Tamandua tetradactyla: one gene and its partners. The protein of the gene in region 1 interacts with the protein of each later gene in a pairwise test. Links are inferred from orthologs where the notes say so. Each region holds a gene or a part of one and is shown on either strand. Other genes may lie near its edges. The genes, in order: EXOC5, EDRF1, RAB4A and RAB14.

The links.
Region 2: the proteins of EXOC5 (region 1) and EDRF1 interact in binary tests that used the Homo sapiens proteins (3 or more experiments, as listed by UniProt). The two-hybrid records come from large-scale screens. The link is inferred for Tamandua tetradactyla from reciprocal best matches to the Homo sapiens genes EXOC5 and EDRF1.
Region 3: the proteins of EXOC5 (region 1) and RAB4A interact in binary tests that used the Homo sapiens proteins (3 or more experiments, as listed by UniProt). The two-hybrid records come from large-scale screens. The link is inferred for Tamandua tetradactyla from reciprocal best matches to the Homo sapiens genes EXOC5 and RAB4A.
Region 4: the proteins of EXOC5 (region 1) and RAB14 interact in binary tests that used the Homo sapiens proteins (3 or more experiments, as listed by UniProt). The two-hybrid records come from large-scale screens. The link is inferred for Tamandua tetradactyla from reciprocal best matches to the Homo sapiens genes EXOC5 and RAB14.

Annotation. Positions count from the first base shown.
Region 1 is NC_135338.1:8,508,812-8,516,673, reverse strand, and holds the start of EXOC5 (exocyst complex component 5), read right to left. Parts: upstream 3,280-7,862; 5' UTR 3,265-3,279; coding exon 3,181-3,264; intron 1-3,180. UniProt on the Homo sapiens protein: Component of the exocyst complex involved in the docking of exocytic vesicles with fusion sites on the plasma membrane.
Region 2 is NC_135339.1:88,275,197-88,283,023, forward strand, and holds the start of EDRF1 (erythroid differentiation-related factor 1), read left to right. Parts: upstream 1-4,390; 5' UTR 4,391-4,910; coding exon 4,911-5,018; intron 5,019-6,015; coding exon 6,016-6,224; intron 6,225-7,827. UniProt on the Homo sapiens protein: Transcription factor involved in erythroid differentiation. Involved in transcriptional activation of the globin gene.
Region 3 is NC_135328.1:153,602,991-153,610,836, reverse strand, and holds the start of RAB4A (ras-related protein Rab-4A), read right to left. Parts: upstream 3,213-7,846; 5' UTR 2,969-3,212; coding exon 2,938-2,968; intron 1-2,937. UniProt on the Homo sapiens protein: The small GTPases Rab are key regulators of intracellular membrane trafficking, from the formation of transport vesicles to their fusion with membranes.
Region 4 is NC_135328.1:36,167,591-36,176,216, forward strand, and holds the start of RAB14 (ras-related protein Rab-14), read left to right. Parts: upstream 1-5,334; 5' UTR 5,335-5,622; intron 5,623-6,056; exon of another isoform or gene 6,057-6,151; intron 6,152-8,626.

The DNA of each region.
Region 1 (7,862 bases):
GAGTGGGAGACATGAGTATCTAGTGCAACAGTAGGGGCTGTAGTTCATTCCACTTATCTTCTAATTTTCCTCTAGGAAGAATCTCAACTGCAATCCTGGAGAAGCTGGTCCCCAAATGAATATAAAGAAATGGATCTTAGTGGTACAAAGGTGATTTGTAGCACACCCAATGTGTCCCATCCAGATGTCCCATCCTTTAAGGAGGTATTGCTGCCTTAAGTGCCAGTAAAGCTATCAATATACAGCTTTTACCAGGCAGTATCTCCAGGGATCCCCTCAGCTGCAGAAAACCACCTTACCCAATGTCATACCTTTCCCAGAGTGACTCATAGCTAATGACTGATTAAGAAGGATGACTCTAACAGGCCATTTTAGCTCCAAATCTCCCTATAGCATTCAACCTTTAGGGTCAGCATTGTAGTTCTACTTCTCCTTTTGCCCAGTGTTGCTTCCTTACCCTGCAACTTCACAGATGTGGCTCTCAAGGGTATTTTCAATAAACATTCTACACACTAAACTCTGCTTCAGAATTTGCTTCCCAGAATATCCAAACTATGACTCTGTAGTAATCCAGTCAAGAAACGTTAGTGCCTCACACAAAGGTGGCAGTGGACGGAGTGCTGAGAAATAATCAGATTCATGGTATTTTGAAGGATGTACTAATAGGAATTGCTGATGGACTGGATATAGGGAGAAAAAAGAAAAAACTGAGTTATGGACTTGTAAAGACCTGAGGCCAGAACAGAGGTTTGAGGCCTGAAAGGTGGTGGGGAAGACTGAGAAAGGAGATGGATGAGAAACTGGGGAAACAATAGCTATGCTCTGAATATTATATTGGAGATGTCTATTAGATACAAAATGAAAAGACAGAGACTATAGTTGGAAAAACAAGTTTGTGCTATCAGGAAGAAACTGGAGCTAGATATAATTTTAGAGTCATCAACATATAGGTAGGTGGTTATTTAAAACCTCAGGTCTAAATGAAATCATCTAGGAGGGAAAAGGACACGACAGCATTTGGACAAGAAAAGGAAAAAGGATCCAAAAAAGAGACAAAGTAGAAGCGACCAGTGAGAGAAGAGGAGAATTAGAAAACAAGTGTCTGAGGTTTTATCTTCAGAGTCAATAACACTATCTATTACGAGGTTTTAAAGATAAACGTCTTACTGCTCCTAATGGGATGGAGATTAAAAAAAAAACTTTCTGCTTATAAAAACTAATAAACGCAATACCTTGCTCTCTAATAACTAAGGCTGTTTCAAAGACATTTACAATTATAAAAAAAAATTAATACATCCTAAAACCTTTAACTGACCAAGGCCTCCAAAAAGGTCTCTCAAAGATATCTGTAAACATCTGCCCAAAAAAATTTCTGAATTTTGCAAGTGACAAAGGTAAATGTTCATCTTATTTTAATACAGTAATTAAACACAAAAATTAACAAAACAAAAACAAAAATTGAAGAACTATGCCCTGTAGACTAATATAAAATGATATTAAATTCAATACTGGTAACTGTGTTGCTGTTAAACTGGTATCATTATTTATAAATGCTACCAATTGTAAGATGAAACATGGTGTGTCTGTGATCATTTCCATAAAAAATAATGACACCAAACCTTTGGACAAGAACCTAAAGCCCTAATTTAACAGTTTCTTGAAAAAGAATCCAACTAAATTTTTTATTTTCTTATAGCACCTTTTTCTAGAATAGATCTAATAAAATGTGTAAGAACCACACACAAATTCAAAGAAACCAGTACATTCATCTTCATCCTGACTTTAAAAAAAAGTATTTCAGAGAGGTATTTCTATATCCTATTAAACCAACTAACCCAAGGGTTCAAGTTCTACCTGTAACGTGTATTCCTTAATTTTAGTGCACTGCAAAACAAATCTTTAAAAATCTTTAGACAGACATTTCCTTTTGTGATTCCTATACTCTCAAGTTCACACTCCTCTGCCTACCCTTTAAGGTCCTTATCTTGCTCTACCTGCTCAAATTTCTCTAAACCCCAGAATGAACACCATATTCCTATCATCATATTTCATTCTTCTCTTCAAATCCACGCTACTACTGCTTCCTGTGGACAGGTAACCCACCCCTTTCTCCCCTCACAATTCAAACACCACTATACCATTATTCAAAGCCTGGCTCAATTTCCATTTCTTCCTTGAAGGTAGTTTCTTCTCCACATTATCTCCACTTATTTCTCCACTCTTACATCCCTTTGAGTTGTAAAAAGTCATATCCCTACACAGAGCAAACTATTACCAGTTGTCATTTGTTTTATAACCATTTTTGTAAGGTTTGCTTTTCTCTTCACACTTAAATTGAAAGCAAGGGCAGGATCTGTCTCACGCCTCTCTTGCTTTTCACCTGTGGTGAACAGAGCACTGATGAGCACACAGCAGATGTACAATAAAGCAAATTACTGGCGAGTGGGGCCAGGGCCAAATCCTCTACAGAGCATCTTGAAAATCAGCCAAGATCCATGTATAAAAATCAAGACAAAAAGGGTCACCACCCCCACCCTCCCAAAAAAAGAACAGACATAACATGGTGCTATAAATCCAAGACTGTAATATAAACCAACTATGAGCTGAGGCAAATTGTGACGCTGGAACTAAATGAATTTTACCATGTTTGATTTTTTTTCTAATTCCACCTGATCTGCTTTTTCTGGAAATCTTTGCGGTTTTACTTGAATAAATAAATGAATTATGTTTATTGAATATTTTTTTAGAGTACTATAAAAAATGCTTTGCCTCAAGCTAGGCAAAATAGGATTCAAAGGTAGAATGGAAATGTACAGGATAACGTTCAAGAAGGGAACATGAACTTTGCCTCTCTTTGGGAAGTGTCAACATCACATTGTGGTATGGAAGATCTTGCTGTAGCCATTTTGGAAAATATAATCTTCCCTTTTTGTAATTCTCCCCTAGTGTAATCTTCTAGCTCTGATCATTTCTTCCCAGTCTTCTTTGTAGTGAATCACCAACCATCTACTTTCTAAAATTCAAAAATATGGAATAAATTCAACTCCTCAGTCATCAAATTCTTTCAGTTCTACCTCCAATATATCACTTAAATTCCCTCTCTTCTCTATCCCCATTGAATCAAGTCAAGATTTCCTCTGCCTAGAGTAATCAATCAAGAGACAATTCTAGAACACCTACCAAATAGCAAGAAGTATGCCAAACTACCCAAGTCCTTTTATTTCCCCAGTTAACAATCTCTCTCCACTTAAGGTCATTCTTCATACTATCAGGAAAATTATCTGGAGAAAAGAAAAGAAAAAAGTCATGTCAGCCCCCTTAAGAATGGCCTATATGGCCTTCTGAAACTTTCCAACAAACTACCGCTATGGTTTCAATGTCTTGTTATGAACCATCACTCCCTATTCCCAAAACAAGTATATACACATTCTACCTCTTTTCCATATTTCCTGAACACACCTCACGTTACAAACTGGAACCTCTTACATGCTACATCTTCTATCTCTGCCTTGGAATGCCCTTCTACTTGGAATTTTTCTACTCATTCATCAAGATACAATTTATATGTCATTACTCTGTTACCATGGAACTAATTATCCCAGGAAGCACTTCTGTATTCCCATTGCACTATATTATCTGTTAACATGTCTGTTGCCTCCAATTAGATTTTTATCTTAAACCATCTTTAAACTCCATCAACTGGAATGATGCCTGGCAGAGGGTGGGTCAAGCACTCAATACATTTACTGAATGAATACATTTTTTTTCATAAATGATAATATAGTAGTAGTCAGCTTCCACAAATGTTTATTTAACAACTGTTATGGCTAAAACAGACTGCTTTTCAGCACTCTGAAGTTGAAGAGATGGTCCTTACTTGTATTATCTCAAGTTCCTTAAAATATACTTGGCTTTATAACTGAACAGGAGGGACTTCTTTTTACCCAAATCTGTTTAAATAGCTTTTGTAACTTGGTTTGAAAATCTAAGGGACATATTAATGTGTTTCTGTGGGAAAATGTGTTCTTGACTATTCAAATTCTAATTTGGAAGTCATAAAGCTGCTACCACTATATGCGAATTACCTAACTTTGTTACTTTCCTGCTCAGACACTTTAATCCTATGTTTACAGAAGGAAAAATCCAATTCCTAATTCTGGTATTTCCAGGCCTCCACAATCAGATCTCAATTTAACTTACATGGCACTACTCCTCTTCATACATGCTTTACCCCACTCAAAATGAACTCTTCTTTTGTTTCCAGGACACACAATTACCTTTCTTTATGTTTTGGCTTTTCTTGTCTATTTTACTGAATAGCCTCTCTACCCTGTTCCAAAAATTCAAATCAAAGCTATCCCTTTGGATCATTCAAACACCATCTTCTAATCCTTTCCCTCTTCTAGAGGCAGTCTTTCCATCCTCTCAACTCTTTATCAAGAATTCTTTGATACCACTTATAACTTTATTTAGAGTACATGAACATACGAAAAGACAACCTCTGGAATAGAAGAAAATAATTTCAAATCATATATCAGATAAAAGTTTAATATACAAAACATATAAAGAACTTTGTTGTTTACAACGCAACACAAAAAGACAAACAACCCAATTAAAAACTGGGCACAAAAATGAGAGCAGGGAACTCCAGGACTCACTACTTCCTTAAAACAGCTACTGTCTAAAACAACTGTTCTGGGGCTTTGGAGGCCAGAGGAGCACTGTTCAGCATCCAGGGAAGAGCGGGAGAAAGGGGCTGAGAAAATGTGGTAAAAGAACCATGCGTAGCTCATTCCACGGCAGCTGACAACACCCGTCAAAGGCGACCATATGAGGTCCGGTCCCTGTTTGGCTGTTGTAGACAGAGAGGGATGTGGAAGTCCTTGTCCCAAAGAATAGTGTATGTGTGTTGGGGAGGTGGGGGAGGGTACATGGCCAAACTCTGATCACAACTGTTGCTTGGAAAATTTGTATTACTGGGTTTTGGCTCAGAACTGCTGTTTTAGCCCACTATGGACAAGGATGGCAATGGTCATTGTTTCAATTCTGCCATCGTCATGGGCATAAGTGGTGGAGGTTTAAAGACCCAGTACTAAGGGTGGTGCAACGGTGGCTCAGTGGCAAAATTCTCACCTGCTATTCCAGAGACCTGGGTTCGATTCCCAGAGCCTGCCCATGTCCAAAAAAAAGATACAGTATTTATATAGGGCTGCGGGGAACAGTTTGCTGAATGGTGCCATCTGCTGGGCAGACCAGGAAAGTGCAACTTACGGGACTTGTCAAAAAAGCTTTTGGTGTCCTCCCTAACCATGCCCACAGAGTTCTCTGGACCAGGTCTGCACTTCCTTCGTGGGGCTGGGGCCCCGTTTTGGCTCAGAAAACTAACTTGGGAAAGTCCCCTTTCTTGTGACCCTCCTCCCCAGAATGTACCCTCCAGGCAAATGCAACAAGAGGCAGCAAAAGCAGTGTAAAAAACACACCATAGAGGCTAAACAAAAACTAAAGGAGAAGATCAAGAACGCCACAGAAGAAACAGGATTCCCAGGAAAAGAAGCTTTCTCCTTTCTTTTCTGGAGGTGAAACAATTGCACACATAGTGCAATCTTAAAAACTGTACTGCAAATTCAGGGCAAGAATCAAATGAAGAAGAGTTGAAATAATATGATCAGTTGAACATGGGCAATTCTAAAGGTCTAGAATAAGTTGAACTAAGTGTGAAAGAAGAGCTTTAACAAAAAGAACAATCAACAATAAAATCCTAGGCAAGAGTGTGAAACTGATCTTTGGAGTAAAGTCATTAAGATAATCAGTAGCCCAGACATTACCAATAAGTTACAAGCCTTACCAAGAAACAGAAAGATACGGCCCAATCAAAGGAACAAATTAAAACTTTGGAGGAGACACAGAATTTGGAACAACTAATCAAAGATGCTCAAACAAATCTAAATCAACTAAAGAAGGTTAAGGAAATTATAGTAAAAGAGATCAAGGATATTAAGACACTAGATGAGCATAGAGAAGAATCTGAAAGTACAAAAAGGACCAAAATAGAAATTATGTGAATGAAAGGCATCATAGAAGAAATCAGAAATATACTAGTGGCACACAAAAGCAGATATGAATAATAAGAAAGAATCAGTGAACTGGTAGGCAGAACAACCAAAACTATACAGACAGAAGAACAAATAATGAAAATCATAAAAACAAGTAGGATCTCAAGGATTTGAATGACAGCACAAAGTGCACAAACACATGTGTCATAGGCATCCAAGAAGGAGAAGAGCAGAGAAAAGAGGCAGAAAGAATATTTGAGGAAATAATCACCAACTCTTATGAAAGACATAAATATACATATCCAAGAAGCGTAATGTACACCAAACAAAATAATCCTAATAGACTTATTCTGGGACACACTAATCAGAATGCCAAATATCAAAGATCCTGAAAGAAGCAAGAAAAAAAATGATCCACCACATATAAGGGAACCAAATAAGACTAAGTTTTGATTTCTCATCAGAAACCATGTAGAAAAGAAGGCAGTGGAATGATACATTTAAAATATAAAAAGAGGAAAAACTACCAGCCAAGAATTCTTTATCTGGTAAAACTGTCCTTCAAAAATGAGGGCAAGTGTAAAATATTCAGATACACAGAACTGAGAGAATATCATCAATGAGAGACCTTCCCTACAGGAAATTAAAGGAGTTCTGCAGGGTGAAAAGAAAAGACAGGGGTGAGATGTGTGGAGGAGAGCGTATAAATGAAAATTATCAGTAAGGATAACTAGAAGGTTGAAAAAAAGAGACAAAAATAAGATACAACATATGAAAACCAAAAGATAAAATGCTGGAAGTATACTACCTTTACAGTAATAGAATTAAATGACAACAGATTAAACTCCCCAATCAACAGAGATTGGCAACAGGGATAAAAAATTATGACCAACTAAATGCTGCCTACAAGAGACACAACTTAGATCCAAAGACTCATAGGTTGAGAGTGAAAGGTTGGAAAAGTTAGCCAGACAAAGACTAACCAAAAAAGACCTGGGGTAGCTATACTAATATCAGACTAATAATGTGAAAATGTTAAAAGAGACAACACTACATATTAATGAAAAAGGCAATTCACCAAGAAGAAATAAAAATCATTAATATTTATGCACGGAGCCATGGTTCTCCAAAGTACAGACAAAAGCTGGCAAAGTGAAGGGAGAAATAGACATCTCACGATAAAAGTTGTAGAACTGAGCACACAGCTCTCACCCATACATAGAATATCTAGTCAGATAATCAGTAAGGAGATTGAGAACTTGAATAACGTGATACATGAACTAGACCAAACATATATAGAACACTGCAATCCCAAACAGCAGGATATACATTCTTCTCAAGTACTCATGGATCATTCTTCAGGAGAGACCATATGCTGGATCACAAAATTTTAAAAGACCAAAATTACACAAAGCATCTCCCCTTGCCCACAATGGCGTAAAGCTAGAAATCAATAACAGGTAGAGAACTGGAAAATCACAAATACATGGAAGGTAAACAACACACTCTTAAACAATCAGTGTGTCAAAGAGTACACTACAAGAAATATCAGTAAATATCTCGAAGTGAATGAAAATGAGAACACAACATATCAAAACTTATGGAATGCACTGAAAGTAGGCCTCAGAGGGAAATTTTTGCCTTAAATGCCTACATTAAAAAGTGAGCTAAACTGCACGTGAGGTATAGGTTTTTTTTTCTCTCTATTATCGTTTCAATTCTTATTCGGTTGTCTTTTTATTTCTTTTTCTAAATCGATGCAAATGTACTAAGAAATGATGAATATGCAACTATGTGATGATATTAAGA
Region 2 (7,827 bases), on another chromosome or scaffold:
TCTGGAGGACATTATTCTCATTTAAGAAGGAAGGGACTGAACCAGGTAATCTCAAATCTCCCTTTCAATTCTAAAAGATCAGGACCTGGAGCCAAAAACTCAGGGCCTTGTGAGGTCCAGCTGGTAAATGCATGAAGGGCTGGTTATATGTAAGGCTGGTTATGTGTAAGACACTAGGTCATGGAAGGTACGCTGGCAAACTGAAGATCTCCTGCCCCATTCCTTCTTATTGTGGGGGTGTGGGGTACATGGTCCAGGAATATGAACCCAGGTCTTCCACACTGAAGGCGAGTATTCTACCACTGAATCACCCCCTACTACCTCATTCTAAACATTCCTTGAGCATCCCCACTCTACCAGTGAAGTTGTTTAGGAACTCCAGTGGCCTTAAGCACAAGTACTTTTGGAGGGCCCCCCAAACCACATCTGCATCTACCTTATGTATAATTTTTTTCCTGTAAAAGTTTTTTGGAAGATTTCTAATTTTGCTTTGGAAAATACTTTGAGAGGCAAGAAACTAAATGAATTTTGATTGACAGTGATTTCTCTGAAATCATCATGTATACTGGGAGGGTTTTTGCAAACTGAGAAAGTCTAACCTTCAAATTGTTTTATAATGTAACAAAATATGTATGAATACTAATTTTAATAATTAATGACATTGACCCTGCAATATTTTGGAGATATTTCATAAAACATTTTTGGTTTTGATTTTGCAATTAAGAAAAAGTGTTGACCAAAGTACCCATTAACAGATGAATAGCTAAACAAACTGTAGTATACATACACAATGGAATATTCTTTAGCCAGAAAAAGAAGTTCAGTTCTGATACATGCTACAACATAGATGAACCATGAAAACATTAAGCTAAGTGAAAAAAGCCAGACACAAAAGGACAAATGTTGTATAATTCCACTTCTATGAAATAGCTAGAATAAGCAAATTCATAGAGACAGAAAGTACATGAGGGGTTACCAGAGGCAGAGATGGGGGAGGGGAGTGGGGTGCTAGAGAAATAGGGAGCTATTGTTTAATGGGTGCAAAGTTCATGTTTTGGGTGATGAACAAGTTTTGGTAATGAATGGTAATGAAATTTTGGTAATGAATGACCACAACATTGTAAACGTAATTAATGTCACTGAACTGCAAAGTCAAAAATGGTTAAAACGGGAAATGTTATGATAAATAAATACGTTACCACACATGTATTTATATATTTAATGTAAAAAATTTTTGCGCCAACAACAGTATCTTTATGCCTCAAACATTTTGATAAATATTTAAAAGGCCTATTGGCCTTGGTCATCATACCTACAGTGCTTAACTGTGGTCCTGTTGGCTGGTGCTGTGCCTAGTCTTAGTGAATCAGAGTTGACTAGATAGGACACCTACTCCTGGGGAGCTCAGTCAGCAGAGGTAGATACAAACAGGTCATTTCTCTATAATGTGTATAAGGACAGTATAAAGTTACATACAAGCTATGGGAACAAAAAAGAAGAACCTAAGGAGTAGGGACGGGGAGGCGTCACTGTAGACTTATTGGGGGTAATACCAGGAATGAATCTTGAGAGTTGGACAGGAATAAATCAGATGAGAAAGGGAAAGGTATTCTAGAGAGAGGACTAGCACTAGCTAGGACTAGAGTTATGGAACAATACGGTTGGAGCAGAGAAATATAAGCAGTTTATTCATTCAACAAACAATTCTTAAGTAACAGAGAACGTAAAGCACTGGGAAGCAGGTGAACATGTGAGAGCGTTGGCTGGTTAAATACCAGGAAAATGGTACTTAGAGGTCAGAGCAGGCCCTGATAGTGGGAGCAGGGCTGGAGGCGTGAGGAAAGTGGACACGAGTTCAATATAAAACAACAGAAAATAGTGTCTTAAAACTTGAAACTGTGGAAATAATGATCGATGGTTTCCCACATTATATTTTAATCCTTTACATTAGAAACCATGATAGTAACTTAAAAAAAAATACATGCGAATGTTTTGAATAGAGAAAAAATTTAACAAGCGCTTAGAGCTAGAAGAATGTATAAACTTTATGTAGCCCAGATGTGCCCAATATCACAAACCCACAGGGATAATCTTTCTTTACTACCTAAATCTCTCTAGTCATGACCCTGTGTAGCCAGAGGAAATCCAGTCCCTCCTCAAGGTCCCTGGTCCCTTCATGACTCAGCTCAGCTCCAGTGGGCCTCTTTTTCTGTGCACAGTTCCTGATTCTCCTTGTTTCATTTCTTCCTGTCTTCTCAAAGGCTGTTTGCAGTGCATTTTCCCACTAGACATCAACAAGGTGGCAGGCATTTACTTCTCAGGGCTCCTGCAAAATCTTTGAGTCCTGAAAAAGGAATTACTTCTAAGTCAGGAAACCTCTTCTTGTAAAGACAGAATTAAACCATAAAGCAACAGAATCAGAAGATTATCAGAAATTAAGTTATACATATGTATAAAAGCTAAAAAAAAATCTTATAAAATAATACATGATTAGAAAAAAGGGGACACAAAAGAAAACTTTTAAAGAAGGAATTTTAAATCACTTATCTTACCGTCAGAGGTATCTTCATGGATATACACATAAATACAGACATGTTTTTAAAATTGAGATATTCTATATTTACTTTGTAAGATGGCATTTATTGAGTTGTCATTGGGCTCGGGGGGCGGCGGCGACATGGCGGGCGCACTGCTGCGGAAGGCGGCGGGCTATGTGCGGAGCAAGGAGTTCCGCGACGACCTCATGAGTCTGCATTTTTGGGGCCCAGTAGCCAACTGGGGCCTTCCCATCTCTGCCATCAATGACAGGAAAAAGTCCCCGAAGACTGCCAGTGGCCCAATGACGTTTGCCCTGTTGTTATTCTTTGACATTTATGAGATTTGCCTACAAGGAACAGCCTCGAAACTGGCTCCTGTTTGCATGCAATGCAACAAATGAAGTAGCCCAGCTCATTCAGGGAGGACGGCTTATCAAACACAAATGTCTAAAAAGGTATCTGCATAACAATGGAAAATAAAGAACATGCTTTCTGAAGGGACAGCATCATCACCTTCTACTGCTGAGTCACAGATTCCATCATCACAGATAGTCTTGCTAAGGAAAAATACGCTCTATGCTATTTTTACTAACCAGACTATTTTTATAAAAATAGCTGAGTATCTAAACCAACTGTCTGCTACCTTACAAATACTGGATATTTTCTCTTCATAAAGAGTAGCCTAAAACATGCAATTAGTTTAAAATTTCCAATGACGGCTTTACCTGCAGTAATATGTATATTATCTTTTAGAATTTACTTGATGAAAACCTGAAGAGAACAAAATTTATGACTACTTAGCACTTGAGGATTCAGAATTTTGGACATTTTCTTTCATGATCACAAGAAAACCACCAGTTGTCCTCACACCGAAAACCTTATTTCCAGTGTTTGGAAAATCTGTGTATTTTCATGCAGTGTGTATACTGAAATGTTGTAAGTTAAAGGCAATAAATAGCTTAAATATTTGCAAACGGTAAAAAAAAAGTCATTTATTAATATTCCATCATGTACACTGTAAATCTCATTAGTCTTGAAAAACAAGTAATGGCTACCTGAGATTTCATTATGATGTACAAAATTGATTTAATCATCCTATATTAGATATTTGAGTTCAACTTTTTATTCTAAGTAACAATATTACTTGTACAAAAAATAATCAGATTGCAAAATATAAACAGATAAAATCAAAGTTACTACACGTTAACACAAATATCTGCAAAATGCAGCATTAAATCAAATTCATCAAGTTTAATTCGTACACATGATTTGTGAATTGAGTTTGGGTCCCAGATTCCTGATTGTGCACATGACTTCGGCGTTATCAGAGACAGCGAGTTTACATCAAACGTTAATAACAATTTGAAATAGTAAAAATAACTTTTAAAGCACCTTTCAATAATTGACTAGTATACTAAAGTATATTTCGTGAGGATGTGGCTGCATTTCAACTCTGCTCTGACACTGGTGTGGAGGCCCGGAGCAGAGAGCGCAGGGCCCGGCGAGGGGACGGCGACCCCGGCTGACCCCTCCCCTCCTCGCTACTCCAGGCACCTGCACCGTCCCCCGGGGGCTCATTACAGCGCAGACCGCGGCCCTCCCCGGCCCAGCGAGACAGAATCTGCATTTTAACCAGGTCCCCAGACGTTTCCTACGGACTTAAACCTTCCGGAAGCCCCTGGCTAGTTTCCTGGCGCCTGACAAATAGGTCTCATGAGATGCTCCAGGAATTACCGAGCCGCGGACCCCTGCGCTCCGAAGCCCCAACCAGGTGCCACCTCTTCTGAGCCCGTTTGTGCCGCATTTCACCTCCGGGGTCCCCGCGCAGGCTCTGTGACGCCGGGGAGGGACCCCTCACCCGGGCAGCCTCTTCCTTTCTGGGCCTCAGGGCGCCCGTCTGTGAATTTTGTGGGGACACTTGAGGCTGCGGAGGGAGGAGGTCTAACACTTGCTAATTTACACAACTGCGTGTCGCCTACTACTTGGAAAGCGACATTTCCCCTCCCACCTTGGGACTCTTCCCCAAGCCCAAGTCGCGAGAACGGTTTGCCAACAAAGACGCGAGGCCACCGTCCCGAGACGCCGGAGCGCCAGGTCCCGCGAGAAGTGGGATCCCTCAGGGCCGCTGAGAGGCGCAGGCGCACTACAGCTACCGTCCTGCCCACCCCCGCCGCGGAGGAGGCGGTTCCCTCAGAGAGAGGCGGGCCCGGGCCTCGCGGACAAAGCTCGCGATATTTGATTCGTGTCACCACAATTCCTTCCTTCCCGGGGCCGGAAATGCGGTCTGCGGAGTGTTGCCTGCGCTGAGCTTGCTGAGGCTACCTCGCCGCTGGTCAGGGTTCCTCTTCGCCTCGACTTCCGTGAACCGAGGTGATGGAGGACACCAAGGAGGCCGGAGCCGAGGCTCCTCCTGTCGGGGCCGCTGTTCCGGGAGGGCTCAGCCTCCTGCCCCAGGGAGAGTCCGAGGAATGTTCTGCACAGGTGAGCCTGCCGCGCGGGACCAGCCCGGGGTCCGGGAGCTGTTCGCCCGCTCCGCCGGGGAGGCTTGTGACGGTTCCCGGCCGCTTCTGGCGCCTTCTGTCCTTGACAGCTCCAGGAAACGGGAGCAGAAGTCTGAGTGCCCGTTGGGGTATTCAGGTTTTTCACTTGGGAGCCGTTTGTATCAGAAACAGGCTTGGCTACCCACTAGGTGGTAAGCGACAGGTGAGTTAGACATGATCTGTGTTCTCAAGGAGCAGGCATGTAAATAGGTGGTTCCAAGGCATGGCACACTCGTGCAAAGCTGGAGGAAAGAAAGAGTGTGCTAGGGAGAGACTCGCCAACGTTGTGGTTCTCAGCTGACTCTTGAAGGATGCAAAGAGTCTGCCAGGCCCAAAAGAGGACCGAGTGAAAGAAGGTTGGAAAATGAACCCAGACAGTAAGCCTGGAGGTTTTTTGTTTTTTGTTTTGGGGAGGGGGGGGGCGCGGGGATGCAGGTGAAGGCTGTGAGGAACCCTGTGTGCCTGGCTGTGGAGTTAGAGGGTGAGAGTATTTGTGTAATGAACTGAAAAATCAACTACTAAATGTTTGCTTAAAAACAAGAAAGCCCCACGTAGCATACCACAAACTAGTTTTTAAAACATGTATATTATTGAAATCAAGATATATTTGATTTATTACTCACCAGAGACATAATTAAATTTGGCCTTTAGATAATGTAACACTTGATTCTCTTTAGTTTCTGCCTCTGTGCTTTCTAAAAGTAGATTGATTGGCCTATTTCCCAGCTGATAAATGTAATTATCATACTCCTTGACTCATCATTTTTTCTTTGAAGGTATGCGTAAAAGAGCTAAGCAAATGTCACGTTGTAATACATTTATCAAGGGTCAGAGTAATCTGTTCCCTTCTGAGCTTGATGTGTTGTTTTTTTTTCCCTTCTTATAAAAGTGGAATTTTCATTACTAGTCATTAACATTTCATTCAATGGGTTAATTAGGGATCAGCTCTGTTTCTTGGAGGCAGTGAAGTAAAGAGCCGAGCTGTGGTGAAGTACTCTTCTGCCCCTCCTCGGACAGCATTTGCCCGCCTTGAAGAGAAAACAGACTTGAAACTCCCCCCTGCCAACTGGCTACGGGAAAGTGCCAAACTGGGCCCAGCAGGAACTACCATTCTCGGCAATAGTAAGAGAAGCAAACCATTTTCAAGGTAAATATTAATTGATGCCATTTTTATCTGCCCTTCTATTGTCCTTAAAACTTTAATACTTGTATTTTCATTTAGTTTATGTACTTTGTCAATTTGCCAAGAGTTGTCAGAAGAAAAAGGTCACATTTGACTTTCCAAGTCCTTTTCTCCTCCCAATAATAGATGATAATAGGAAGATATCAATTGTATGTGCTTTTTTTTGTTTGAAGACTGCATGGTTACTAACAAAGCAGAGTTTTGATCATTAAAATTCAATCAGCTGTTTTAATTTTAACCACCTTGGATACCTTTTGAGGTATCTCAAAGGTAAATATGAAGAATTAGGGTGATGTACAAGGAGAAAATCCTTAACACTGCTTGCCTGTTTTCATTAAATAGTGGTGGAATGTCTGATCTAGAAGAGCCTGATATAGGAAACTCAACATGTTAGGTGATCTACACACTTCATTTTGACACTTACAGGAAAAACCTTTTGGAAGTATTTAAAGTTGAGAGTGTGGCCCAATATCTTAGAGAGAAAAATGTACTAACATCCTTATTCTTGTAGATGTAGACCATGCAAAGGGTGGGTTTTTTTGTTCTCTCAGAGTGATTAAACCTGAAATATTTCCACGAAAGATAGCAAGAGCAGTAAGTTCGTTAATACTTTATAAACAGTAGTTTTACTGCTTAGAAATTACGCTAAGGAAGTAATGCTCTAGAAGCTAAAAGTTAAATTTATAAGATGTTGCTCCTTGTACCACTGTTTGTACTAAAAAAAGTTGGAAACCTAAGGGTGTTGTTTTAGAAGGATGGCTTAGTGAATTATGATGTGTCGACACAATTAAATGTTATGAGGTGATTTAAATGATAATTATAATTAGAGTGTAGAAACACAGTCACTCTGCTAACTATTTTACATGCTTATCCCATTTAATTTTTCCATTGACCCCTTGAGATAGATACTGCTAATATAACTATTTTGTATTAGAAGACTGAAGCTTAGAAAGGTCAAGTAACTTGCCTAGACCACATGGTATCATCATAGGAGCATGCTTTGAAGTTAGGCATCCCTACGTGAGTAGTGTCTTGACTTCACCACTTACCAGAAAACAGTGACATCACTACCTTTCGGGCTTGTGCCTCAAGTGGTTCCCAATAAAAGTTGGGCCCTCAGTTAACATTGTTTTTAATTCTTTCCTTCTGGCTGTACTGGTATCCCAAGGTGCATATGTATTTTTTTTTTTCGGTGCATATGTATTTTTAAAAAGAATAATACTGTATATCATTACCAACACAATCCCAGAAACTAAAATCCTGATCAATTTTCCTGTTTCTGTTTTTGTTGCTCTACTGATTGGTTGAGGCCTACCCATATAATTTAGGGTTATCTCCTTTTCTTAAAGTCAAGGGATTGTAGATGATAATCCCGTTTAGGACATACCTCCACAAAAACATCTAGGCTAGTGTTTGATCAAACATCTAGACATCATAGTGTAGCCAGATTGTCACATAAAATTATCATACCACTTTAAAAGAATGAAATCTAAAACCTGGCTGTTCTGTCTTTGAGATTTTGGGGGGTGCTTGGTGATTATAAAAATAAAAAATAATTTTAAGTGCT
Region 3 (7,846 bases), on another chromosome or scaffold:
TAAAAAAGAAAAAAAAATACTAAGACTATGTTTTAATAAAAAATAACACAGGACCAGCAATTTGAGTTGTGGGTTTCTTGTTTCATAAATGGTTTCCACTGTAGATTACATAAATTTCAAAGTGTAGAAATTTGCCTTAGATCATTCCTTAGTCTCAAACTAACACTTAAATTTATTTCTTATTCCTATCCTCCCCTCCCCTGCCCAGAATCACTTACACTACCGACTTGACTGGTTAGTTTTGCAACACAAATCTTGGCATCACAATTATTTTTGTGACCTTCCAGGTTTCCGATGGCCAAAGTGAAGCTCCTAAGGAGTCCAAGGGGACTTCCAAATAATACTAATTGGCTTTAAGAATGTTCTGAATCTAACAGTATTGGGGACAACCTTGTCTCAAGTAAGGGATATTCAGAATGAAGATTTCAGGTTGCCTAAGTTTAAGATTTCAGTAACTAATTATACTAAGTAGGCTTTCACCTGGTGAATGGCTCCTGAGCAACAAAATGTTCAATACTACTCAGTCAATGAAAGGTGAAATATTGCTTTAATATGCTAAACACCATGTATATATGTCTAATTGACTGTGTACTGCAAACACTGGCTCTTTATTTTGCATAGTACCCCTGTCAAGATATATAGAGACTCCTTTTACAGAAGGGAGAAAATGAGCACAGAATATAAAGGAATTTAAAGGTTAAGGAAACATTGTTTCACCAGACTAGCAGGCAAGTTTCAGGCAGGAGGGCATTGGTTTTACTTTTGAGTAACAATGCTAAGTAAATATGTGTCAATGACAAGTGGCAGCTTTGTACTTGGTTTTGGGGACTTTTATTTTAGGTGGGCAACTTCAACTACCACCACACTTCCTCTTTCTAAAACTAATTTTCTCTAATGAGGAAAAGATTAAATTCAGAATGTAAAAAGTGAAAAAATATTTGGGAGATATTATGAATTAAGAATACTAATAATCAAAGTCTTACCATCAGAGTTTAATCAGTTAATCTATGATGCTCAAAAATTCAATTAGCTGTATCGGAAGGTGTCAGATGCCAATGTTATATTTTATCGCTTCATAATCAGAAAAATGAAACATACAAAACTATCTCCCGGATTCTTCCAGTCAAGAACACCCTACCCCCAGTTTTCTTATTTGGACTTTCCACCCCTCCCTACTGCTCCTTAGCTACATCAAAGGGTAAAAGATGGGAAAGGGGAACTTCAAAATAAAGAGAAGCAAAAGTGTAACTAATAATAGCTAGAAAAATTTATTTTCCTTATGAAACCTTCGACTGTAGATCTGTATAGAGACAACCACACCACATGGCTGTCTTTTACTGTGGCACTTTCAGCCCCCACAACACTGGTACTTATGAAACCAGTGACTTCATGGAAGATTTCCTGTGCCTTCTAAGAACACAGCATCATGCCCCAAGTGCCAAAAGGAGCAGGTCAAGTATCAGTCACAAGAGTCATCAAAGGTTGGCCAAATCCTCTCTGGCCCCACTATTTAAACCCATCAAATACTTCTCACCACTTTTAGGAGAAAGGCCAAAACCCTCTACAAAGTCCGGCCCCACCAAGGACCAGGTTTACTTCTCTGCCTCATCCCTCTTCTCCTAGCTGCCTGTACTCAAATCACAGGCCCTGTACTGGAATTCAGTTTCACAGGGCCTGGGTACATGCTGTGCTGTGACTTGTTAACAACTCCCTGACCTGACGTCCCAGCCTAGGTCAGATTTCTTTCTAACACATTTTCCTAGGCCACATAGCTTCAGCACGCTTACCTGGGTTTTTAATTACTCATTCATTAGTGTCATAATTAACACTGTACTTCCCACTTGCCCATGAGACCAGAGCATGTCTGCTTTACTCCCTGCTGAGTACCTAGCATACTCCACAACAGTGGGTTCTACACATATTTTTTGACTGGAATAATGGTCACTGACAGGAGCAAATGGAAATAAGATCAATTTGGTTTGTGGTAGTCACAGTGCTTTTGAACCTGAGCCTCTCTCTGGGACTGCAAAACTTCAAAACTCCAAATCAAAGTCTTAATCTGAGAATGCACACAACTGAAAGCCTGGCAAGAGACAGTAAACACTGATTCAATCCTGACACAAAGCAAAAACATGCGGTATTGTCTATTCTTACCGCCCAGGGTGTTAAAAAACAAAACAAAACAGTATATGACTTGGGTGGGCCTTCATAATTTTTATATATACACATATACATATATATATTTTTTTTGCTGAGGACCTCCAGCTCTGGATGCTGTACGAGAAACAAAGATTAAATACGGTTCTGTTTTCAGATGTTTACAGTCTTTAAAAGCAGTTAAGACATTTATAAATAGCCAGAATGCAAAATAGAGGCGGTTAAAAACCCTAAGGAGAGAAAGCAATAAATGAGGTAAGAGGTTTCCACAGGGAGAGAGGAATTATTCTGTCGGTAACCCCTCTTTGCAATTCCAAAGGAAAGAAATTTAAAAACAGGAAAGGTCAAACTGGAATTTCTGAGGAACACTCAAATGCAAGCGTCGCCCTAAGCCCTTCAGATCCCTTGCTGGGGTCAATATCGCAGCTGAGAGTCAGTCTCCAACTGGCTTCCCAAACCTCTGAGCTGCTGAAATCAGAGTAAGAAAGGAGAAGCGTTTAGGGTGCCAGCGAGGAGAAGCAGCAACAGGAAATTTTTAAAAGCAGATCACGTAAATGCGCTTCTCACCGCGGGACCCGGGACCCCGCGCCCCGCCCCGCGCAGGGCGCCCGCACCTGCCCTCCGCCCGCGGGAGGGCGCCAGCAGCCCGCGCCCGGGCCGGGAGGGAAGGGGTTGGACGAGGTGGGGCGGGGCTCGCGCACCCCCGAGAACCCCGAGACCCCGGCGCGGGCTGCAAGTTGCTCGCCCCCCGCCCGCCCCGGCTCCGGCCAGGCCTCGTACCGTAGGTTTCGGACATGGCGGTCTGCGACATCTTGGGAAGCGGCACCGCCTCTCCCCGGGGTCACAGGCTGCAGCTCCGGCTCGCGCCGGCGGGAGGGGAAGGGGTCGGAGCCGGTTCTCTGCGTCTCGGTGGATAAGGTAGTAGGAGGCTGTGGACGGGGAAGGAGGGAGGGGCCCAACCGGGTCCCCAGGCAACCGCCCGCCACCCCGCGGCTGCGGCTCTGCCCGCACTGCCCGGCTCCGCGCAGGCGCACATGGCTGAACCCCGCCTCCTCCGGGGAGCCGCGGCCGCGAGGACTAGGCGGCGGAGCAGAAGGCGCGCGAGCTCGAGGCCCGGCCGCCCACCCACCGCCGCGCCTGCGCACGCGGATCGCGGGGGTGGGGGCCGAAAGGGCGAGGGCGAGGGCGCGCGTCCCCCCTCTGGCACCAAAACAAGGAGCACGTGCGCGATACCAGCGTCGGGGTGGGGCCTGGATGGGCGCGACTGAGGAAACCTGCATTAGAGGGGCGGGGAAGGGGGGTCGAGGGTGGGCAGGCTTGGGGTGTCGCTGCAGCCTGACGCGGGGCAGGGCACAGTAGGAGCAACTTTGGACAGAGGAGGCAAAGTGCCTAGGCTGGGGAACAGATACAGTCTTTCGCCAAAATGGTCCTCCTCATTGAAGACGTATTTGTCTTCATTCGAGGCTCTCAGCCAGAGAAAAGACTTCCTTTATATAAACCCCGGGACTTGGTTAATGTGTAACTAAGAGGGAGTTAGGCTCACGTGTCACCTAGTGTTTGCCTGTGTCCTGCATGCCTGAGTCAACCCTGAGATTGGGAAAACAAGTTTACCTCCTGTGAGGTGGACCTTTCGAACCAAACCTGTTTGGCTCTTTATCTGGACGAGGCTGAGCGGGTATCTGTGAAAAACTGTCAGAAACTTAAGGTGTGCAGGTGCTGAAGAGTGCCTGAAAGACTCTAGACTACTGCCCCTTTAAATCCCACTGTTTGGGAAATGTTATTTATTGGCAGGAAACATTTCCTGACCATCTGCTGGGGATACCTTTCTGAGGTTAAGAAAGTCGTTGGCTGGATGTTTTGGCTTAAAGAACAAAACAGTTCCAAATCTCTGTTGGAAATGTAGAGATAGTAATTTGTTGGAAAGGAAATTTTGTTTGGGAGTTTGATCCATCTGAGCATGGCCGTATCTTATAAGGCCCAGCCTTGTTTAAAATATATAAAACGCTAAAATAAGGCATGGCTCAATTCAATAGGCTGGACCCTCAATCTTGGGGCTCACCTCTATGAAGCTTATTCCTAGGGAGAGCAAAGGAGAGGCTAAGCCTACTGATTATGCATAAGAGTCACCCTAAGAGAGCCTCTTTTATTGCTCAGATGTGGACTCTATCTCTAAGCCCACTTGGCAGGTGGACTCACTGTCCTCCCCCCTACATGGGACATGAATCCCAGGGGTGTAATTCTCCCTGGCAACGTGGGACCTGACTCCTGGAAATGAGCTGGGGCCCAGCATCATGGGATTGAGAAAGGCTTCTTGACCAAAAGGAGAAAGAGAGAAATGAGACAAGACGAAATCTCAGTGGCTGAGAGATTTCAGACAGAATTAAGAGGTTATCCTGGAGGTTATTCTTATGTATTATATAGATATCCGTTTTAAGTTTATGGTGTATTGGAGTGGTTAGGGAGAAGTACTTGAAACTGTTGAACTGTGCTCCAGTAACCCTGATTCTTGAAGAAGGTTGTATAACTATATAGCTTTTACAGTGCAAGTGTGATTATGAGAACTTCACGTCTGATGCTTCTTTTATCCAGGGTATGGACAGATGACTAAATAATAATAATAATAAGGATTAAAAAATAAGTAAATAATAGGGGGAGATAAAGGATAAAAATTGGGTAGATTTAAATACTATGGGTCAATGAGAGGGAGGGGTAAGGGATATGAGGTGTATGAATTCTTTCATTAGTTCTTTTCCTGGAGAGATGCAAATGTTCTAAAAATGATCATGGTGAGGTATACACAACTTTGTGATGATATTGTGAGCCATTGGTTGTATAATATGGTTGGACTGAATGTATGTGGATACTTCTCGATAATAAGTATTTTAAAAATAGGCATTGGCTAAGCCAACTACTGTGAGAAAAATGCCAGTACATACATTTTATGTGTGTCTATTTGGCTCCATCCTCCACATAAATTGGCATCAGACCTTCCCTGAGGCCTCTTTCCCTCTTCCTCAATAGCCATTTGGCTCTTCATTTTATTCTTTCTTCTGACACTATTGGCAGATAAATTTCCTTGCTTCTAAATCAGAGAAGGCCCATGCTGAAATATTTCGAGAGCTGTAATTTCCTATGATTATTTTGCATATATTTCTTTATCAATGGCTTGGCTACTTTGTTGCTTTCGTATTTGGCTTTCATCTGCATGCTAAGTATGCATTTTAAGTGTACAATTTTATGTAGATGTATACACACACGTTACTACTGCAGTGCCATTGCTTCTAGGCTTTAGTGAACAGAAGTGCTTTTTATTATTCCATTTTATCTCTATTGTTGGCTTATTAGACACAACATTTTGTGGTATTATTTTAGTGATTGTTTTAGGATTTATAGTATAGGTCTTATCGTAATCTACCCCAAGTGATTTTATGACACTTTATGTGGAGTATAATAACAATACAGCAAACAGTTCATTGCCATCCTGCTCTCGCCTTTGTGCTGTTGTCTTCTTCCTTTTCCAGTTGTGATACTGGGTTTCCATTTGCAAAATGAAAACAACTGCTGCATATGTTATAGACACCAAGTAATTCACTATTGCTTTTGCTTTAAATAGTCAATTCTCTTTAAAAGAGATTTAAACAATAAGAAAAAAGTACATAGTTACTACATCTAGAATTCCTTGTGTAGATTCTGATTTCCATGTGGCATCATTTCTCTTTTGCCTTAACAAATCATCTAGTGTAGGTCTGCTGGTGATGAATTCTTTCAGTTTTGTTTATCTGCAAAAGTCTTAATTTTACTTCTGTTTTGAAAGATATTTTTGCTAAATTTGGATTTCAAGGTGTGCTTTTTCTTTCTCCTGCTACGAAGATGTTGCTTTACTATTTTCTGGCTTATATTGTTTCCGACAAGAAGTCTACTGTTGCTCTTCTATTTATTCCTTTGTATGTAATATCTTTTATGTCTGTCTGCTTTTTCCCCCCATATACCACCCTATGCCACCCTGTCTGCTTTTAAGATTTTCACGTTACCACTAGTTTTAAGCAGTCTGATTATGCCATGACTTGGTATGATTTTCTTCCTGGTTCATATAGTTAAGTTTCATTACACTTCTTTGGTCTGTGGGTTTATAATTTTTCTTAATCAGATTTGGAAATTTTTCAACCATTATTTCTTCAAATATTTTTCTGATTGCAATCGTGTTGAATTTGTTCCACAGCAAATGTTCTGTTCATTTCTTGTCAATCTTTTTTTTCTCTGTGTGCTTCATTGTGGATAATTTCTATTATGTCTTTAAGTGATCATTTCTGTTACGTCTTTAAGTTCACTAAGCTTTTCTTCTGCAACCTGCAATGTTTTGTTAGTTCTACCCAGTGTTCTTTACATCTTAAATATCATAATTTTATCTCTAGAAGATCAGTTTGGATGATCTTCCATTTTCTCTATTTAACATTCTTGATTTCTCTTAAACCTATGAAAAATAGTTCTGATAATAGTTTTATTACCACTTTCTGCTAATTTTAACATCTGAGTTTATTTTATATTGATTAACTTTTCTCTAATTATGGGTGGTATTTTCCTACTTTGCATGGCAGGCAATTTTTAATTGGATGCTGGACATTGAAAATTTTGTTTTGTTTGGAGATATGGTTAAGTAGCTTTGAACCAGCTTGATACTTTCGGGTCCTACTTTTAAGCTTTTTCATGGAACCAGAGTAAAATTTTGTCCCATTACTAAGGCTAAACCCTGCTGAATACTCTGCCCAATGTCCTTGAATTCTGAGGTTTTCCGCTATGATTTGTGGGAAAAGAAATATTCTGGACTCTGTGTAAGTGCTTGTAGGAGTTAAAAGGCTGATGTTTAACCTAAAGCTTGCAGACACAAGAAATTCAGACTTGAGTGTTCAGGATCTGGAACTTCAGTAGAAGCCGAGATATGCAGATAAAGCACAATGAAGTGTGGAAGAGACTTGCTTAAGGGAAATTAACATCCTAGCCTTAGAAGTATTTACTTCCTGGAACTTGTTTTTGCATTGTATAGCTCTGGCATGCAAACAACCTTTATCATCTTTCTTTCTAGTATATAATTTTGTACTTGGCTGAAAATAAACTTGTCTGAAGACTGATGTCTGCAGATCCCCTGATTCCTTTCTCTCTCTTGTTTTACTTTAACATTCCTTAGGGTCATGACTGTGGCCAACAAGTGCTGGGGATAGTTTCCTCAAGCCTTTATTCTTTACCTGGCCTTGGTAAAGAAAAAAATTAGTGTTCTCGTATGCCTAGCATTGATTAGTAGGAAAGGCTCAAAGAGACCTCTCTGCAAATCTCTCGAGATCACTCTATTTGTGCATCTCTCCCCTCTCCATAACATGCCCTGAGAACTCTAGCTGCCTTGGCCTTTCCGGACTCCCAGCTTTGTCTCCTCATGTTAGGGAGTGCTCCTTCCTGACCTCAAAGCTCAGTCTGTGGATCTCTTTTTCTGCAGTCACTTACTCATTAGCTGATCTCATCCCATCTCAAGGCTTTGAAGTGCCATCTATAATCTGATGATTCCCAAATTTCTCTCTCTTGCCTGGGTTTCTATTTACAGTTGCCTGCTTAATTTCTGTACTTAAATGTCTGTGATGCTTCTTAATAGTAACACATTAAAAACCAGACATCCAAGTTTCTTTGCAAGATCTGTGCTCTC
Region 4 (8,626 bases), on another chromosome or scaffold:
ACTTCCTCCTTGGGAAAACAGAGGATCTAACGAAGAAACGGGAAATACTACTGCAAAACTTCGAGCAACGCAAAAGGGCCCAATAGCCAGAGGCCAAGAGTACCCGAGACAGAGGTGGCCGGGCCGCAGCCCTGTGGCACCCCCTTGTGGAGCATGTCTGAAATGCTCTGCTCTGCCCAATTTCAGTCAAACCTTTCAGCTCAGCTAAGCCCACAGAGGCCTGTTCCCATTCTTTTCCTCACCTCTTTGTCTCTCCAAGTATTTTTTATTACTCTAGGGAAACCCCTTTGATTGCTGTTGAATTCCACACTATTAGATAAAGAGGTTTTCTTGTTATCAATTTATATGGAGAAACTGCTTCAGGAGCTATCAGTTGGCTCTAAATAAAGAATACAGTTACACTGGACTGCGTGCTTATTCAGTGCCAGGTGCAATGCTAAGAGGTTTTTATGTTTTCTCTCATTTTACCTTCATAGCTACCCTAGGAATTAGAATCCAATATTTCCCCATTTTAGAGACAAGGACCTGAAGAATTAGAGACTTTATGGAACTTATTCAAAGCCACACAGTTACTAAGAGGCAAAGGTGGGACACAAGTCCACTTACAGCATTGGGTAATTTCTGAGTTGTCAGTTAGGGTCCTTCAAGTATTTTCAGGTTCTTATTAGAGTGGCTTCCTCCACTACTTCACAGCCCCATTCTGCCCACCATGGGTGGGAAAACAGAGTTCCCTTTCCCCAGTCCAGGTTTCTATGAGGAAGGATTTTTCCTGAGCAAACATCTGGGTTCTCTCCCCTCTTTATCCATTTGTGAGTATATAAGTAATTTATCTGTTTGGCAAATTTGAGAAGAACATCTGGTCATGCTCAACTTTTCTTGCTTCTTCTTGCTAGGAGGGAACTGTTCATACAGTACTTTGGAGCCCATTTGTGGGGTTCACTATTGGTGGCCCCCCTTTTTTATCACTCTAAAAGACTCTTCTTCAACCTGGCTTATAACAGTAATCAAGGTGATATTTTTGCCTCTAACTGTCTCTTTTCTTTCTAACCTTTTTTATTGTATGGCATAACATATATACAAAGAAAAGAAATAAAAAAGCAATAGTTCTCAAAGCACTCTTCAACACGTAGTTACAGGACAGATCCCAGAGTTTGTCATGGCTACCATAAGATCCTCTCCGATTTTTCCTTCTAGCTGCTCCAGAATGTAGGAGGCTAGAAGAAATATTTTTCTTATCATCACAATTGATTTTTTTCCTTCTTTTTTTTGTGAAAAATAACACATATACAAAAAAAAAGCAATAAATTTCAAAGCACAGCACCACAATTAGTTGTAGAACATATTTCGGAGTTTGACATGGGTTACAGTTTCACAATTTTAGGTTTTTACTTCTAGCTGCTCTAAGATACTGGAGACTAAAACAGATATCAATTTAATGATTCAGCTTCATATTCATTTGTTAAATCCTATTTTCACTGTATAACTCCACCATTACCTTTGATCTTTCCATCCCTCTCTTTAGGGGTGTTTGGGCTATGGCCATTCTAAATTTTTCATATTGGTTGTAGAATCTTATATATTGCCCTAAGCGTTCTTTAGGATTGGTTGGAATTGTCCTGGGTGGGGTTTGGCAGGTTATGATAGGTAGCAAGGTCTGACTGAAGCTTGCTTCAGAGCAACCTCCAGAGTAGCTTCTCAACTCTATTTGAACTCTCTTTGCCACTGATACTTTATTGGTTACACTTCTTTTCCTTCTTTTGTTCAGGATGGAATTGTTGATCCCAAGGTGCCAGGGCCAAATTCATCCCTGGGAGTCATCTCCCATGTTGCCAGGGTGACTTTCACCCTTGGACGTCATATCCCACGTAGTGGGGAGGGCAATGGTTTCACTTGGAGAGTTGGGCTTAGAGAGAGTGAGGCCACAACTGAGCAATAAAAGAGGTCCTCCAGAAGTAACTCTTAGGCATACCTATAGGTAAGCTAAGCTTCTCTGCTACCTACATAAGTTTCACAAGAGTAAGCCTGAAGATTAAGGGCACGGCCTATTTATTTGGATGTCCCTATAGTTTGACACAGTATCAGGGGATTTCCTGATGTAAAACTTAATAGTTTCATATTTTTTTTCTCCCATCCCTCAAGGGACTTTGCCAATACTTTTTGATTATCTTCTTAATATACTCTAGGATGTATCCAGGCATTACATTAAACTATACAGAATTAAATGACCTCTTTCTTATTCTGGGCTCCCTTTGTTTCAATTCCTGTTTTTTGTTTTATTCATTAACTCGTCCAGAACCCAGGCAAGGGAAGTGGATACTATTTATTCAGAACCCTTCACAGATTCCAAAATGGTTATTCTGGGGGAGTTACACAGGTGGGAAGGATTTTTGTGGTCTACTGCTGGTCCCAATCCTTGCTCTCCCTGGTGGTTTGGCTTCCCCAGGCTTTTGAGCTATTCTGATGCCTGTTTTTTTAAGGGAAAGAATGGCAGTATGGCAGAAGTGGCTAGTTATTTCTCAATATCCATTCTTTTCTTTCCCCTTTAGTAAGACTCCCTCCTAGGATGGAGACTAAATTTTCCAGCATCCCTTGCAGTTAGATATGCCCACATGACTCATCAATGGAACACGAGCAGAAGTGGTGTGTACAACTTCTGGATTATACACTTAAAGGGGAGGCACCTGCTATCCACTGTTTTCTTCCCTCTGCTTGCTAGAATAGGACATGTGGTGGCAGCTGGACAAGTATTTTGAACCACAGTACAGAAGTTATATTTTTGGCTGGCAGTGCAACAACTAAGGAGGAGCCTAAAAATTGCCACCATCAAGCTGCGATACCAACCCCAGACTGCTTGCCAGACTTCTGTGTGAGAGCAGAAGAAACTGCTTTCTTGTGAAAGTCACTTTCATTTTTTGATCTCAGTTACAGCAGCTGAACCTATGTAACCTAACTAACATACATAGGGATGCAAGAAGTCGCTTCCCAACCTGGACATGGGGAGGGATGGTGCGGCAGAGCCCTAACTGTGCACCTGATTTACATGTATAAGGGAATCAGTGAAAACAGGAAGGGTAGGAGTGGGTGTTTTTGAATGCTGAGAATATTCAGATACTTTCAGTTACACTTTCTCACTTTACCTAAGCAACAATTCTGTAGGGCTGATTTGTTAGCCTTTTTTACAGTTGAGGCTCAGGGAAATTAAGATATTTGACTGAGATCGCACAGATAATAAAAGCTGTGCTAGAAATGGAATTAAGGTCAGTATGACTTTCAAAATCATAGTCTTTCCTCCACAGCATACCATTCACTCATATACAGTACAATATAATACAATATAATGTAAACTTGCTCTTGTTGACCCTCCATGGGTCTCCTGGGTTCCTCCAATCTTGCAAGCAAATCTCTCTCTCTCTCTCTCTGGAGCAAAGGACAGAAAAACTTCCCATTATAAAAGATTTGGGCTCCTAAGGTCAGGCTAACTTTCTGGTAACACAATCAACTGTGTGTGCCATCATCCATCTGGACCCATCCATATCACCTTCATGGGAACTGAGGACCTGAGGAACTGATGCAAATATGCTGATGCTCTAGCTCCTTCATGTGTTGCAAATAGCAAAGTTCTTCGTCTCTGAACCAGGAGTTTCAAGTCTTCCTCCTGCATTCAGGAAACTGTGCCAGCTAACTTGCTACCTTGCACTTAGGGTGAAATCTCAGCTTTTGACAGCACCTGCTATATTTGTGCCATTAGGAGAGTCACCATTTGTTCAATACACTTGTATCACATCCCACATGCTTTTAACTTACATGATTTTAACCATATGCGCAAGGCCAAAGAAAGCAATAAAAATAATTTAAATACTGAATATTCCTTCCCTTTCACTAAATGAGTGCCTGACTTGGGGTAAGTATGAGAGGAGAGTTGAATCTGCAATTTTCTCAAGAGTTCTCAGTTTCCCTGTGGATTTCATGGTGTAAGCATTTGCCACACTAGTGGTTCTAACATTCAGAGACGCATATTTTTCACATGCATCGCCTGTGACTCTTAGCCAACCACTTCATCTAGCAGTCAACCAAAGAAAAAAGTAATGAGAATCAATGCCAGAGGAAAACTAAGAGACAATGAATCCATCTTCAGTGTGGTGCATTCCTGACAAATTTTCAAGTATATTTTTCATATGACAAGTAGTTCAGTTTTCACGTTTGGCACAGGCAAATTTCTTGATTTCAGAAATGTTAAAATGTGACAAAAGAACATATTTATTAAAGAATGTGGGGATGGAAGCATAGACTTTAAGGCTGGAAGGGATTTCAATCTCACTTTATAGTAGATTAGTATGTAGTCATCATTTTCATTTATTAAAGGTCAGGAATTTTGCATATATTATCTCTTTTCATTTTCACATGGACCCATGTGAGATCGATATCTAACCCTATTTTGCAGAAGAAATTGAGGGTCTGAGAAATCAACCAAGCACATATTATTAGAAAATGTTAGAGCAGGAATTCACATCCAGTACTTCTGAGAAAAGAGATTTGTCAATTGCCATACATTCCTTCAATAAACTCCCACTGGTCTTGATTGCCACAGCAAGTTTAAACAACATTTGGAGATGAGTGAAGCAGCGTTGAGCTATTCCATTAGGCATATTAAGCACAGTGCCTAGAGTTCACAATATTTGAAGGCCCCACAAAACATTTTTAGTTCTTTCAAAAGAAATTTTTTAAATGGAGGAAGGGATCCATGAAAGTAAAAGTGCTCAAGGTCTATGAAAGTTATAATGCCACCCTGCACGCAAGTGCGCTAAGCTTTCTGGGAAAATAATGGTAGATAAAAGTTTGAGGATGGGGAATGGCGGAAAAACTGAAAAAAGTGGTCACAATTTCCCTCTACCCAGAAAAGACACCTCCTGAGCAAGGTTAGAAGGGACAGAGATGAAACAGTGGAGAAAAGAGCACATTCTAGCGGTCTAATCTTGGACAAGCGACTTGATCTCGCCGAGCCTCAGTTTTGCCATCGATAAAACGGGTAGAATGGGGCGTTAATGACTTAGTCCGCTTTTTTTTTTACCGCTATGTACCAACCAAGAGCCAGAACAATCTCAGCAGGGGCCAGACTCCGCGCGATTCTGCGCAGTAACTTCGCTAGGAAGCGCGAGGACGCACGACTTGCGTATAAGTGCTTTCCTTCCGCCCCGTTAGGCGCCGGGGCTAATGGGGCGGGACTCAGCGGCGACACGACGAGTCCTGAGAGGAGGACGGTAGAAGGGGCGTGGCTAGCAGGCCGGGCCTTCGTAACCCTCTTCCGGGCTACGCCAGCTGCGCGCGCATCCTTCTCCCCCCTTCTTTTGTGGTCCGGCCCATTGCGAGGGTGACAGGAAACCCTGTGCAGGGAGCGCCGCCATCTTGGACCAGCCCGGGGAAGATCCAGAGGGAGCCGCAGGAACAGTCCTTGCTGCCACCGCTACTACCGCCACCGCGTCTGCCACCTCTTCGTACAGCCCGCCCACCTGCCGGGGCCTCGGCCGACTGCCCCCGCCTCCTCTCTCGTTTCCGTACTCCTCTTCCTTGTCCTGACGCCCCCCTCCCGCCCGGAAAGCTGCCCAGCCACCAGCAACCCCCCAGGTAACCCAGGCCTTCCGCACTGTCTGTTTCGCTGAAGCCTCCCCACCCGGCTCTTCTGAGGGGGGTGGAGGGGTAGGAATGACAGCGAGACCTGCTTGCAGGCGGGCGGTGCCATAGGAGCAGGCCCTGTCAGGCCGCTGCGAGCCCAGGAGCCGGCCGTGGGTGCCGCCGGGCCTGACCGGACTCCCTTGCGGGGTCGGATGGCGTCCCCTGCACTACCCCTGCCAAAGCCACCTTGTCTTCCCCACCCCAGCAGAGACCTTCGAGGCGTGCGGGATAGGGTGTGTTCCCACCTCGTTTTCCCCGCCTCCTCGGCGGGACTGGGCAGGTCCTTTTCTCTTGGCTGCCTTTCTCTAAGGCTGCAGACCACCCCCGCATTATTTATCCACGCGTGCCCCGCCGCCTTCCAGCCCGCGAGCCCCAGATGTGGCATCCCCCGTCCCGTAGGCCGAGTCTGACAGCGAGTACAAAAGGCAGCACCTCGCAGTCTCGCCTGGATTTTGGACTGGCTCTGGCTGCCCCTGTTGATGTAGGTAAACTGTCTCGGGACTTGGGCTGAGGAAGGGGATTCTGCGTCTGTGCTTGCAAGTTCTGTTTTTGGTGAGACCCTGTAAGCTTCATGATATCCTATAAGACCAAGAAGAAGAAAAAAAGTTTTGACATTTCAGCTGTTTCAGAAAAAAGGAAGGCGCAAACGTGTTTCTAGGGTTTGCACTCTGCTGTGTCTAGGTGTTTTCACGCGTTTATTTTGCCTCACCTCGGCCTTGGAGATATGTTAACCCAGTTTACACGTGAGGAAACTGAGGCTTAAAGTTGTGATATGGTTGGTTATTGATGGTGCCTACATGCAAAACTGGCCCCTTTCTTCTAGGGAGAGAGACATGACTATTTAAAATGCAACTACAATCTAATACCGTTTTTCCGATGTTTGGATTGGTTGACAGCTGATACCACCTTATGACTCAAAGTCCAGCATGTCAGCCACTGCACTGCCAAGTCCTCATTCTCACAACCCCAGGAGAGAGATAGCAGGATTTCTCTTTTATATGTGAGGAAGAAACTGGGGTTCCCAGAGCCCAAGTACTCTCCTGTGGTCCCACAGCAAGTGTCAGAATCTAGGTGTGAACTCTTGCAAAGTTTACTGCCTATTTCATTATTGCACCACAATTGGCTGTGCTTTTTATTGAGAGGATAAATTTGATTTTGCAATATTTCCAACAGCCCCTTCCCACCCCCATCCCCCACCCCCAAAAAACAACCTTTCCAAAAATTTTCTTCAAAGGTCTGCTTAGGCATTTTTATTTGGTCATGCCTTGAAGCAATGTGATATAGTGGTTAACAGTTTTCACAGTCATAATGCCTGCAGTTTCCACTCTTGTTACTGCCGCTTCCTAGTCAGGTGACCTTAAGCAAGTTACTTAACCTCTCAGACATGAGTTTAAGAATTTAAGACATGAGTTTGTAAAGTAGCTGGTATATATTAGGCACTTAATAAATGGCAGTTATCATAAGGATGTAAAAACTCAACACTAATAACCGTTAAAAATTCCTTGAAATTAAAGCTACATTTAAAAGTTCTAACTTTTAAAATTTTCTGTTAAACTTTATATTTGCTGCATATTTCAACTATACAATAGAATTTGAAGTGTTCTTACAACTGAGTTTATCAATATCAAATATCTTAGCATAATTTTAGTAAGAGGTACTATTAGAGGAAAAGGCAGATAGGATTTGTTAAAACTAGGGTTATTTTGAGATATTTCATTTTTTTTAAAAGTTGGAATATTTTTATGTGGTTAAAAATATGTGTAGTTGGAGATGATACTTTACAAATAGAGGTAGCAGAGATAACTTTACTTTTAAAACTTATAGAAAATTTTAAACATATACAAAGTGGAGTATAATGAGCCTTCATATACCATCAGACAGTGTCAATACAAAGTAGAGTGTAATGAGCGTTCATATACATCAGTATCAACAGTGATCATTCGTGTTTCATTTTTATATACCTGTCCTCTCTCTAAATTATTTTAAAGCAAACATGGTGAGTCATTTCATCTGCAAATTTTTCAGTTACTAATTCTGTTAATTCCAGTAGTGAGTGAAGGAATCTCCTCCCAACCCCACTCCTCCACTTTCCCACTGAACAGAGGTACACTATTTTAGTACTTTATTTCCTGTTCATAGCATACCATCAAAATTAACTACAAAATTTTGTCTTTCTCTTGATACATTGAGTCCTTTTTTTCTTATATTCACATTATTAATTTATGTAAAATGTGGCACTTTTGTGAGGTAGTGTTTTAAGTGGGTCTCAGAAGGGGTGGGTTATTTTTAGAGTTGATACTACTGTTGAGAAAAGGAAATTGAAAGCTCTTATATTAGATTATTAGATTAACTACAGAAGTTTTGTGTTCCTCTGATTGACAAATCAAGTAGCATTCCATTTTAATGGGCCTGTAAGTAGATCAAATGGGTTCTGTTATTGAGTTCCATGAAAGCAGTTCCATGACAGTGTTGTCATTTTGTTCATTACTATATTGTCAAGGCCTCACACAATGCTTTGTGCTTAGTAGGTGCTCAACAAATATTTTCACATTAGAATCACACAGGCAGTCCATTTGGCTTTGGTGTTTTTAACAACATGTCCTGCATGTAAAATAAAATCTTACCAGTGTAAATAATGAGGATAAGAATTTAAATTACCTGTAATAGTTACTGGGTTTCTTTATCCTGGTCAGTCTTGGGTCATGTATATAAAGAGTATAGAGTGGCACATCATCTGTTCTAAGGAATAGAATAAAATAGCTCTGTAACAGTTGTGAAAGTATTTGTCAGTCATGGTGCATAAGCATACACAGTAAACAGCTAGACTATTTTAAAGAAATACTCTCTACTAGTAAAAGAAGTATAAATTACTTTTCTTTTTTGAGGCTGGTCATGTGATTGGCTTCACATCATGTTCCCCATATTACTGATTAATGTGGAAATAATGTCGGAAATG